3 linked regions of the Macaca mulatta genome follow. The protein of the gene in region 1 purifies or fractionates together with the protein of each later gene. This does not show direct contact. Links are inferred from orthologs where the notes say so. Each region holds a gene or a part of one and is shown in the gene's direction. Other genes may lie near its edges.

Evidence for each region.
Region 2: the proteins of EIF3L (region 1) and ZNF746 purify together in Homo sapiens (affinity purification with mass spectrometry; 3 studies listed by BioGRID and IntAct, counting the BioPlex papers as one, with this or other methods). This does not show direct contact. The link is inferred for Macaca mulatta from reciprocal best matches to the Homo sapiens genes EIF3L and ZNF746.
Region 3: the proteins of EIF3L (region 1) and EIF3B purify together in Homo sapiens (affinity purification with mass spectrometry; 8 studies listed by BioGRID and IntAct, counting the BioPlex papers as one, with this or other methods). This does not show direct contact. The link is inferred for Macaca mulatta from reciprocal best matches to the Homo sapiens genes EIF3L and EIF3B.

Annotation. Positions count from the first base shown.
Region 1 is NC_133415.1:13,635,235-13,638,880, reverse strand, and holds part of EIF3L (eukaryotic translation initiation factor 3 subunit L), read left to right. Parts: intron 1-939; coding exon 940-1,110; intron 1,111-3,401; coding exon 3,402-3,646. UniProt on the Homo sapiens protein: Component of the eukaryotic translation initiation factor 3 (eIF-3) complex, which is required for several steps in the initiation of protein synthesis.
Region 2 is NC_133408.1:189,297,166-189,300,811, reverse strand, and holds part of ZNF746 (zinc finger protein 746), read left to right. Parts: intron 1-435; coding exon 436-627; intron 628-1,120; coding exon 1,121-1,246; intron 1,247-2,360; coding exon 2,361-3,466; 3' UTR 3,467-3,646.
Region 3 is NC_133408.1:36,333,767-36,337,926, forward strand, and holds the start of EIF3B (eukaryotic translation initiation factor 3 subunit B), read left to right. Parts: upstream 1-1,357; 5' UTR 1,358-1,411; coding exon 1,412-1,910; intron 1,911-4,160.

The DNA of each region.
Region 1 (3,646 bases):
GCTAATTTTTTTATTTTATTTTATTTTAGTAGAGATGGGGTTTCACCGTGTTGGCCAGGATGGTCTCAATCTCCTGACCTCATGATCCACCCACCTTGACCTCCCGAAGTGCTGGGATTACAGGTGTGAGCCACTGCACCTGGCCCATGGCAGTTCTTTACTCTTCACGTTTTGCTAAAGGATTGAGAAGGCCAGTTGCAGTGGCTTACGCCTGTAATCCCAGCACTTTGGGACGCTGAGGCAAGTGGATCGCTCGAGGTCAGGAGTTCGAGGCCAGCCTGGCCAACATGGTGAAACCCTGTCTCTGCTAAAAATACAAAAAAAAAAAAAAAAAAAAGCTAGCTGGGTGTGATGGTGGGCACTTGTAATCCCAGCTACTCAGGAGGCTGAGGTAGGAGAATCACTTGAACCTGGGAGGCAGAGGTTGCAGTGAGCCGAGATCACACCATAGCACTCCAGCCTGGGTGACAGAACAGGATTCCATCCCAGAAAAAAAAAAAAGAAGTAAAGATGTAATTCTGAGATGGTATGTTCATTGATACATGGTTAGCTGTTGTGTTCTTCCTAACCACAGAAAAATATTACAGATTATTTGGTGTTTGGTTCATGTGTGTGTATGTGTTTCTGTCTTCCCTGTCCAAAAGGACTTAATTGAAAAAACAAGGAAAAATAACAAAACTGAGATGTATAGCATTTTGGAGCTGAAAGAGATTTTAGGAATTACCTGATCCAGAACCTTCTTGTTACAGCTAAGAAAATGGATTCCTCAAAACATACAACTTAATTGATGAATAGGAAGATGGGCTCTCAAACTCTGGAACTGCAGAGCTTCCTCTGGATAGTTCAGGGCTCTGCAGGGAAAACTCTTGGTGTTTCTACCTCTGGTTCTATCTAGGATGAATTGAGACTCATGGATGTATGTTCCACCTCCTTCTGCAGAGTATGTATTCCCGCGTGCCAGAGTGCCAGGTCACCACATACTATTATGTTGGGTTTGCATATTTGATGATGCGTCGCTACCAGGATGCCATCCGGGTCTTCGCCAACATCCTCCTCTACATCCAGAGGACCAAGAGCATGTTTCAGAGGACCACATATAAGTATGAGATGGTAAGGGGGACTCTGCCTGCCACCAATGACCTTTCTAATCAGAAGGCTCCTTGGCACCTATGCCAACCGTTCTTGGTAAACACCATCCAAAATATTGCAATTTTAAGCCAGGAGTTCACGGCTGTAGAGTGCTCTATGATGATTGTGCCTACTAGTAGATCACCCAGCTGGAGTGCAGTGACGCAGTCACAGCTCACGTCAGCCTCAACCTCCTGGGATCAGGCGATCATCCTATCTCAGCCTTCCCAATAGCTGGGTCTAAAAGTGCACACAACAGACACAACAGCGGCTCAGCGGCTAATTTTTTTTTTTTTTGAGACCAAGTCTCTGTCACCCAGGCTGGAGTGCAGTGGTGCGGTCTCAGCTCACTGCAACCTCTGCTTCCTGGGTTCAAGTGATTCTCCAGCCTTAGCCTCCTGAGTAGCTGGGACTACAGACATGTGCCATCGCATCCAGCTGATTTTTGTATTTTTAGTAGAGATGGGGTTTCACCATTTGGCCAGGCTGGTCTCGAACTCCTGACCTCAGGTGATCCATCCACCTTGGCCTCCCAAAGTGTTGGGATTATAGGCGTGAACCACCACCCCCGGCCAAAATGATGTTTTAATGGCTAGCATACTCTAAGAGTTTCTGTTGTGATGCCTGTTATCTCAGATCATTAACATCTTGATGATAATATCTTTTGTTTCAATTATATCCTCCAGCAGTGCCTACATTTATTTATTCAGCATCAATATGAACATCAGGCCAGGCGCGGTGGCTCAAGCCTGTAATCCCAGCACTTTGGGAGGCCGAGACGGGTGGATCACGAGGTCAGGAGATCAAGACCATCCTGGCTAACACAGTGAAACCCTGTCTCTACTAAAAAATACAAAAAACTAGCCCGGCGAAGTGGCGGGCACCTGTAGTCGCAGCTGCTCGGTAGGCTGAAGCAGGAGAATGGCGTGAACCCGGGAGGCGGAGCTTGCAATGAGCTGAGATCCGGCCACTGCACTCCAGCCTGGGCGACAGAGCAAGACTCCGTCTCAAAAAAAAAAGAAAAATACAAACATCAGAGTGTTCACTGGCTTCTGAGTGTTTTAATATGAGGTGTGGGCCGGGCGTGGTGGCTCACGCCTGTAATCCCAGCACTTTGGGAGGCCGAGACGGGTGGATCACGAGGTCAGGAGATCGAGACCATCCTGGCTAACACGGTGAAACCCCATCTCTACTAAAAAATACAAAAAACTAGCCGGGTGAGGTGGCGGGCGCCTGTAGTCCCAGCTACTCCGGAGGCTGAGGCAGGAGAATGGCGCGAACCCCGGAGGCGGAGCTTGCAGTGAGCCGAGATCCGGCCACTGCACTCCAGCCTAGGCGACAGAGCGAGACTCCGTCTCAAAAAAAAAAAAAATAAGGTGTGGATATTGATGGGAAGGAGGATGGGTTCAAAGCATACATAGAATTGGGAGGAGCTTCCTAGGCAGAGAATAGCATGAGCAAAGTGGTTGAGACTTGAAGGTGTGGTGATGCAGCAGCACAATAAACCGTTTTGGCTGGAGGGCAAATAGGCAGTAGGAATTGGGTTATTGGATTCTGAGAACCTTCATTAACCCAGGTAAAGTATAGTCCCGTGTCATTTGATGCTGCAGATACATTCTGAGAAATGCACCGTTTGGTGATTTTGTTGTGTGAACATCCTAGAGTGTACTTACACAAACCTAGATGGGATAACCTACTACATACCCAGGCTACATGGTATAGCCTATGGCTCCTTGGCTACAAACTTCTAGAACATATTACTGTACTGAATAACATAGGCAGTTGTAACACAAGGTATTTGTGTATCTGAACAGAAAAGATACAGTAAAAATACAGGATTATAATCTTGTAGGATCACCATCCTATATGTAGCCCATGACCCGTTGTTGACTGAAACGTTGTTGCACAGCACATGACTGTTTAGTCTATATTCTGTCGGCATCAAAGTCGCATCAAAGGTTTTGGGTAACTCGATCCTAACTGGTGTAAAAGGATTGACCTGCTAGTGATGTGTGGGACAAACTGGAGAGACTAAGGCAGAGGTGCCAGTAAGGAATCCAGGAAATGGCTAAGGAGGATCTGGACCTAGGATGGAAGTTAAGTAGATCTAGAGGGAGGATTGGAAGAGAGGTGGGGTAAATTCCGTGGCTGGTATGAGACAACTGGGTAAGTGAAAGATCTGTGCAGAGAATGGTGAGGCCAGTTGACTGACGGTGGGGACCTCAGGAAGTCCATCTTATTTGACCGGGTACAACTCTCCACCCCATTCCCAGATTAACAAGCAGAATGAGCAGATGCATGCGCTGCTGGCCATTGCCCTCACTATGTACCCCATGCGTATTGATGAGAGCATTCACCTCCAGCTGCGGGAGAAATATGGGGACAAGATGCTGCGCATGCAGAAAGGTGACCCACAAGTCTATGAAGAACTTTTCAGTTACTCCTGCCCCAAGTTCCTATCGCCTGTAGTGCCCAACTATGATAATGTGCACCCCAACTACCACAAAGAGCCCTTCCT
Region 2 (3,646 bases), on another chromosome or scaffold:
TTTGTGTGTTCTCTGTCATTCTTACCTCTGGGATCTTTTCTTTTGCACTCACTTAAATATATGAGGGGGGTAAGGTTTTGGGGGGGACTTGGGGTTCACTTTTGTCCAGGATTTCTGTGTTTCAAGTGAGGGCAGGCCATTCCCAGGGCAACTCAGTCTCCCCCTGGACTGGCAGCCTAGCCCTGAGAATGTGCTTGTGTATTCTTCCCCTCCCCCACCTCACCCTTTCCTGCCCTACCTGCATTCCCAATACCATGTGACCTCAGGCTCTGCCCTAGGCCCCCATCCTGTTTGCTGCTGCCTGCCTTCCCACCAGGCTCTTTTGCTGTTGGACCCTTGTAAGGCCCCTGTGTCTACCTCTCCAGCTAGGTGCGTGTCCGCCCCAGACCTCTTGGGGCCGTGATGCTGTATCCTCACACTCACTCCCCTTCCTAGGCTCGGGGCCCCCAGTTCCTGCCCCAGACCTCTTGATGCAGATCAAGCAGGAGGGTGAGCTCCAGCTCCAGGAGCAGCAGGCCCTGGGCGTGGAGGCATGGGCAGCCGGGCAGCCAGATATCGGGGAGGAGCCCTGGGGCCTCAGCCAGTTGGATTCCGGCGCAGCAGACATCTCCACGGACGCCACCTCTGGTAAGTGGCTGAGACAGGGACATAAGGAATGAGTTTCAGGGATCACAGGAGGGACAGGGGAGGGCTCATGGCAGCATGGGGGAGCTGTGGGCCCTCAACACTTCCGACCTGACAACTTTAGAAATTTTCCCATTTTAAGGTGGGACTGTACTGAAGGACTTGTCTCGAGCCTCTCTCAGGTCGCAGATGCTGTTCCTGGGCATCTCTCTGGCCCTGTTCCAGTGGCCCCTCCATAACCGTGCGGCCGCTCCTCTTGCCCCATCTTTGGGCATTGAAGTCACTGGCTGCCTCTATTCAAGACGGGCCCGTGTGAAACACAGCGATGATGTCTGAGCTTCCCAGTGCCTCAGAGTGGGGGACAAAAGAACCGGGATCACTCAGAAAAGCCCCCAGTGGGGAGGACCTCAGAGCTTAGCCTGCTCTCCTCCCCAGCAGTCTTCTGTCCTCCCCATCCCTCCCCTAACCCACAGGCTCTGTTCTCCCCTTATCACAGGTGTCCATTCCAACTTTTCCACCACCATCCCACCTACCTCCTGGCAGGCGGATCTCCCTCCCCACCATCCCTCTTCAGCATGCTCGGACGGGACCCTGAAGCTCAACACAGCAGCCTCCACAGAAGGTACGGGTGGCAACAGGAGGAAGGGAAGGGCCATGCTTGCCTGTGGGGAGTACCTCCATCCAGGCGTCTCATTTTCACTGGTGAACTGCTCTGACCTTCCAGCCAATAGACATTAGGGTGTCTGCACTCTTATGACCCTTTGCACATTCTGTTCTTTATCTCCTTCCCAAATCATAGGCGTCCGCAGCCCTTCTTGAGGACATCCATGTTTCAGTCTGTTGCTTTTTCATATGGTGTTAAGTGGTGTATTCTAATAAGCTGATCGATTGAAGGATATACCTCCTCCCCAGGCTTAAGCAACTGTGGCTTCTCTCTGGCATGGAAGAAAACAAAACTGAACTGAAACCACTTCTTAGATATTGGTACTACCAAAGACAGGTGTCTGAAAGCCGATTTCAGAAGAACTGCCACCAAATTTATCTGTTAGCTTTCTGTTTACTTCTGTTGTAAAGCCCAGTCACCTGTTACTTTAATAACGTCATATTTTAGCACCCAGAACACGTGCTAATAGCCAAGATCCCTGATGTGAAACCTCAGAATGTGAAGTTCAAGTACACTTACATAAAATCAAACACATTCAGTAATATTTTTATCATTAGCTAGTGGGTCCATTTATTGAATGCTGCTGCATGTCAAATAGCTCACTAAGGCACTTTCAGACATGTCATCTGGTTTAATCCTCACACCTGTGAAGTGGGCATTCACAGATGAGCTGTGGGTTAGGAACTGCCTGCAGCCCACAGCTGCTGTGTGGCGGCGCTGTCTGAACCTCCATTCCCTGCACTGCGGTGGGGCACAGTACCTGCAGCAGTCCGAATTCCTTTCTGAGGATCAATTCATGCTTTGCCTTAACAACCACACTGAAAAATGGAACCTGGGGAGCAGATATGCTGGTGGCTTTTCCTGTGGTGAAGGTGCCAGAACACTGGTGTCCTCCGGTGGGAGGCCGCCTCACAACCACCAGGCTGCTCTGCTGAGCTGCCCTCTGGGCTCAGCCAGGAGGGCCTTGGTGGAGTTCGTGTGGCCAAGCAGCTGCTGAGCAGTGATGGTGGCAGATCGTGGCTCGCTCAGCAGGTACGGGACAGGTCAGTATCTGTCTTTTTGTCTTTCTCAGCAGATGTAAAAATTGTAATAAAAACAGAAGTCCAGGAAGAGGAGGTGGTGGCCACACCTGTACATCCTACTGACCTAGAGGCTCACGGGACCCTGTTTGGACCAGGCCAAGCCACGCGGTTTTTCCCTAGTCCTGCCCAGGAAGGAGCCTGGGAAAGCCAGGGCAGCTCCTTCCCCAGCCAGGACCCTGTGCTGGGGCTGCGAGAGCCCGCCCGGCCTGAGAGGGACATGAGTGAGCTCAGCCCTGCTGTGGCCCAGGAGGAGACCCCTCCTGGGGACTGGCTCTTCGGGGGGGTCCGGTGGGGCTGGAATTTCCGGTGTAAACCGCCAGTGGGCCTGAACCCGAGGACGGGGCCGGAGGGGCTTCCTTACTCCTCAGATAACGGAGAGGCCGTCTTGGACCCCAGCCAGGCCCCGAGGCCCTTCAACGAACCCTGTAAATACCCTGGCCGGACCAAAGGCTTTGGCCACAAGCCAGGGCTGAAGAAGCACCCCGCGGCGCCCCCCGGGGGCCGGCCCTTCACCTGTGCCACGTGTGGGAAGAGCTTCCAGCTGCAGGTCAGCCTGAGCGCGCACCAGCGCAGCTGCGGGGTGCCCGACGGGTCGGCCCCTGGCACTGGCAGTGGCGGCGGCGGCGGCGGCGGTGGCGGCGGCGGGGGCAGCGGCAGCGGTGGGGGCAGCGCACGGGATGGCAGCGCCCTGCGGTGTGGGGAGTGCGGCCGCTGCTTCACACGCCCTGCGCACCTCATCCGCCACCGCATGCTGCACACAGGCGAGCGTCCCTTCCCCTGCACCGAGTGTGAGAAGCGCTTCACCGAACGCTCCAAGCTCATCGACCACTACCGAACGCACACGGGCGTGCGGCCCTTCACCTGCACGGTCTGCGGCAAGAGCTTCATCCGCAAGGACCACCTCCGCAAGCACCAGCGCAACCATGCGGCGGGCGCCAAGACCCCGGCCCGAGGCCAGCCACTCCCGACGCCGCCCGCACCACCCGACCCGTTCAAGAGCCCCGCCTCCAAAGGACCTTTGGCCTCCACAGACCTTGTGACCGACTGGACTTGTGGCCTCAGCGTCCTAGGACCCACCGATGGCGGGGACATGTGAGCACCACCAGCCCCGTGACCCCGGCTGGCCGCACGTGTAAAAAGCCCCGTGTGCAGGCAGCAGGGCGGCGTGGAAGCTTCAGGCAGACGCGGGACGGGGAGAACCCAAATGTCCAAGTTGCTGAACTGATGATCACTGGAGAAGGAGAAACTATCCACCAGGACAGCTGCCACCTCGAAA
Region 3 (4,160 bases), on another chromosome or scaffold:
GTTGCCCTGACTGGTCTTGAACTCCTAGGCTCAAGCGATCCTCCTGCCTTGGCCTCCCAAAGTACTGGGAAGACAGGTGTGAGCCACCGCGCGGGGTGTGGCCATTTTAATATGAAGTTTAGTATACAGCTCAGTGGCATCAGGTACATTCACCATGTTGTGCAACCATCACCACCGTCATCTCCAAAATGTTCTCATCCTCCCAAACTGAAGGTCCGTTCCCGATAAACACTCCCCACTCTCCTCCCCAGCCTCTGGGTACCACTTGTTTTACTTATTTATTTACTTATTTATTTATTTTTGGTATACATGAGGGTTGGCGGGGGTGGGGGTGCTATGTTGGCAAGGCTGGTCTCGAAATCCTTAGCTCAAGCGATCCCCCCCGCCTCAGCCTCCCAAAGTTTTGGGATAACAGGCGTGATCCACTGGGTTATTTTCTAGTGGTTGTCCTCCACTCCGGCAAAAAACAAGAGAAGACACAAGCACCCAATACCCGTCCCGTGAACAGCAGCCCAGAGCCAACCGCTCCGGAGAGGCTCGCGCCCCACGCGGCGAGAACCCGCCCCCGCCCGCACGTGACCCGCGGTCTCCCGCGCGGAGGGCGGTGGCCTCGCGTGGACCGAAACACTGTGAACGCCCGAATGGGGGGAAACAGGCGGTGACGGCCGCTAGGGAAGGACTGGGGGTAAGCGATTAAAGCAACTCGCATACATTTTTGCATTGCGCCAGGGAGTCGTCTTTCTAGTCGTGCGGGCCGCCTCTGGCTCGCCCCGAATTCCTGTTCTCCTTTTTGGAGTAGTCTGTCCTTTTGCGCAGTCAGTAGGCGAGTCCAAGTGTCAGACACCGACAGGGGGGTCTTTAGTAACGTAAGCTAAACAGTTTGCCTAGCGAAAGGCTGAGACGCCCTGAGCAATCGCCTGTCGAGCCTCCACTCTTCCATGATAATAACTGTTGAGTTAGAGGACATTTTCATCCCATTCTGGATACTAAAATCATTTCTGGTCCCCGCCTCGGGCGCCACAAATAGTTCAGCCCCGCCTCGCAGCGTCCGACGGGAGAGGAAAGGGGAGGCCGCCATGTTGGACAGAACCATCCGCTGCCATATATGGGGTGGCCAATGCGCCCATGAATTTAGTGATGGACGGAAACAACCTTGTTGAATGGAATTAAGCACTTTCTTGTCACAAGAATGTCAGTTTGGTGATTTGCTGGACGCGGCTTGCGGATGCGAGTCCTCTCAGGGTCGTCGTGAGGCTCCAGGGCGTGGGTACACCCCCCGCCCCGCGGCCTTGGTACGGCCTCCCCGTCGCACGCACATGGCTGAGCTGTAGCCGGCGCGGCGCGCGGTGCGGCCTGGGAGAGTCGGAAGCGCGGCGGCCGCGGAGCCCTGCGAGTAGGTAGTGTCGGGCCCATGCAGGACGCAGAGAACGTGGCGGTGCCCGAGGCGGCCGAAGAGCGTGCCGAGCCCGGCCAGCAGCAACCGGCCGCCGAGCCGCCGCCAGACGAGGGGCTGCTGCGGCCCGCAGGGCCCGGCGCTCCGGAGGCGGCAGGGACAGAGGCCTCTAGTGAGGAGGTGGCGGTCGCGGAGGCCGGGCCGGAGCCGGAGGTGAGGACCGAGCCGGCGGCCGAGGCAGAGGCGGCCTCCGGCCCGTCCGAGTCGCTCTCGCCTCCGGCAGCCGAGGAACCTCCTGGGTCGCACGCTGAGCCCCCTGTCCCGGCACAGGGCGAGGCCCCGGGAGAGCGGGCTCGGGACGAGTGCGCCGACAGCCGGGCCCAGGCGGCGTCCGAGGACGCGGGAGGAAACGAGGGCAGCGCGGCCGAGGCCGAGCCCCGGGCGCTGGAGAACGGCGACGCGGACGAGCCCTCCTTCAGCGACCCCGAGGACTTCGTGGACGACGTGAGCGAGGAAGGTGAGGGCGCCCGGGGCAGGGCTGGCGAGCTTCGCGGGAGCGTGACTGGGGTTCCGGAGGTGGGAGATGTCGTCGGGCTGTGCCACTGGTTCGTGCAGAAGTTCCAGCGAGGGTGTCCGTGTGTTCCTGGAAAGCCACCGAGGGAGGGGTTCCCGAGTGCCCTAGAAACGTTCTGAGACCCCAGCGCCTCCCCTTTTCTTTCCTAAAAAAGGGGACAGGATGGAGCTAACTTCGTGAGCCAGGGATTTGCATGACAACCAGAAATCTGAGAGGGTGGGAGAGGGCACAGGGGTACTCTGTTCTGGCTGGGTGTGCTGTGAGTGTAGCAGCTGGGGTTACAGCAAAAACCGAAGACCCGGTGTCAGGTTTGCGGGTCTGCGTGTCCCAGCTGACCAGTCAGACCTCCCGAGGTCTGGATCGGAGGAACAGGTTGTCGCAGAGCCGGTGATTTTGTCCTCCTGCCCCGCACAATTGTCCATCTCCAGGAGACTTCCCTAGTGGTACAGGCAGACCCTGTCAAATTCCAGTTTGGTTCTCCTTTATCCCCTCTGCTAAACCTGTAAGGCGAGTTATTTTTCCAGGTTTTAATATTGTTGATAACAGCCTGCTTTGCCTTCGTCTCAACCTTGATTGGATTTACAGGCATATTTCTGCTTCCGCCTCAGAGAGCTCTTTTCCTAAAGTGACTTCTGATGAGAGCTGGTCTCATTTGTTTTTCTTTTGTTTTTAGCTCTCTTAAGCCTTTAAGTTGAGAAACACATCAGCCTCTGCGGATTGGCTAAGTTAATACTGGAGTGAGAAAAATAAAAATACCCTTGCTGACGCAGCCAGATATACACCAAGACAATTTAGGGAATAACGTGGAGTTGCCAACTTATAATTGAAACGTATTTTTAAAAGGCTATCAGAAATACAAAAATCAGCCAGGTGTGGTGGTGCACACCTGTAGTCTCCGGTACTTGGGAGGCTGAGGCACGAGAATAGCCTGAACCCAGGAGTGGAGGTTGCAGTGAGCCAAGATCCCACTGCTGCACTCCAGCCTGGGTGACAGAGTGAGACCCTGTCTCAAAAAGTGAAAAATTAAAAAATAAAAAGGCTGTCAGTTACTGTGGCCATTATTATATTACACTTTTTTTTTTCATAGAAGACATTTTAGCAAGAAAAGCAGGAAGAACACCACAAACTAATGAAGACTTTGGGAACATCTAGTCTGCGCCCCTCAGTCCTGAGGAAATGTGTCCCTGAAGGTGGAGTAGGCTGCTGAGAATTCGCAGTGGGTTCGCTCTGCGTGGCTCACCAGACTCTCCTGCTCAGAACAGTGTTCTTTCTTTTTTTTTTTTTTGAGACGGAGTCTCGCCCTGTCTCCCAGGAGTCTCACCCTGTCTCCTAGGCTGGAGTGCAGTGGCGCGATCTCGGCTCACTGCAAGCTCCGCCTCCCGGGTTCACGCCATTCTCCTGCCTCAGCCTCCCCAGTAGCTGGGACTACAGGCACCCGCCACCGCGCCCGGCTAATTTTTTGTGTTTTTAGTAGAGACGGGGTTTCACCGTGGTCTCGATCTCCTGACTTTGTGATCGGCCCACCTCGTCCTCCCAAAGTGCTGGGATTACAGGCGTGAGCCACCGCGCCCGGCAGAACAGTGTTCTTTCTAACACTTCAGTAGTTGTTATAGTTTAAAATCAAAATTTTTGGTTTAATGATTATTTTGAGCCCTTGGAAATTCTGCTATTTTTTTAAAAAGTATTATTTGAGCCCATCGAATTCAGATTTCTAATGTGTAAATTATTTCTGGAATTGGGAAGAGTTAGTGGATGCTAATATGACCACAAGGTTGGCCAGGCTGGGTGATGACTGTGGGTCCTCAGGGGTCCCACGTGGCCCTGAAGGTGCAGTGTTGGCCAGAGTGACAGGTGAGGCATCTGGTCCTGAGGACTAAGGCTCAGCAAGCAGGCTTTGTCCTGGCCCGCCTGGTTGTGGTAACGCAGGTGGGTTGTGTGCGTTATGACAAGAGCTGCCCTTCAGGGTCAGTGTGCAAGATAGTATATGAGTGTGTCAGTTCTTTCCAAAAGGGCCGAGTCTTCCAGATAGTATATGAGTGTATCAGTTCTTTCCAAAAGGGCCGAGTCTTCCAGATAGTATAGTGTATCAGTTCTTTCCAAAAGGGCCGAGTCTTCCAGATAGTATATGAGTGTATCAGTTCTTTCCAAAAGGGCCGAGTCTTCCAAGGAGCAGACCAAAGGTGGCCTGGAGTC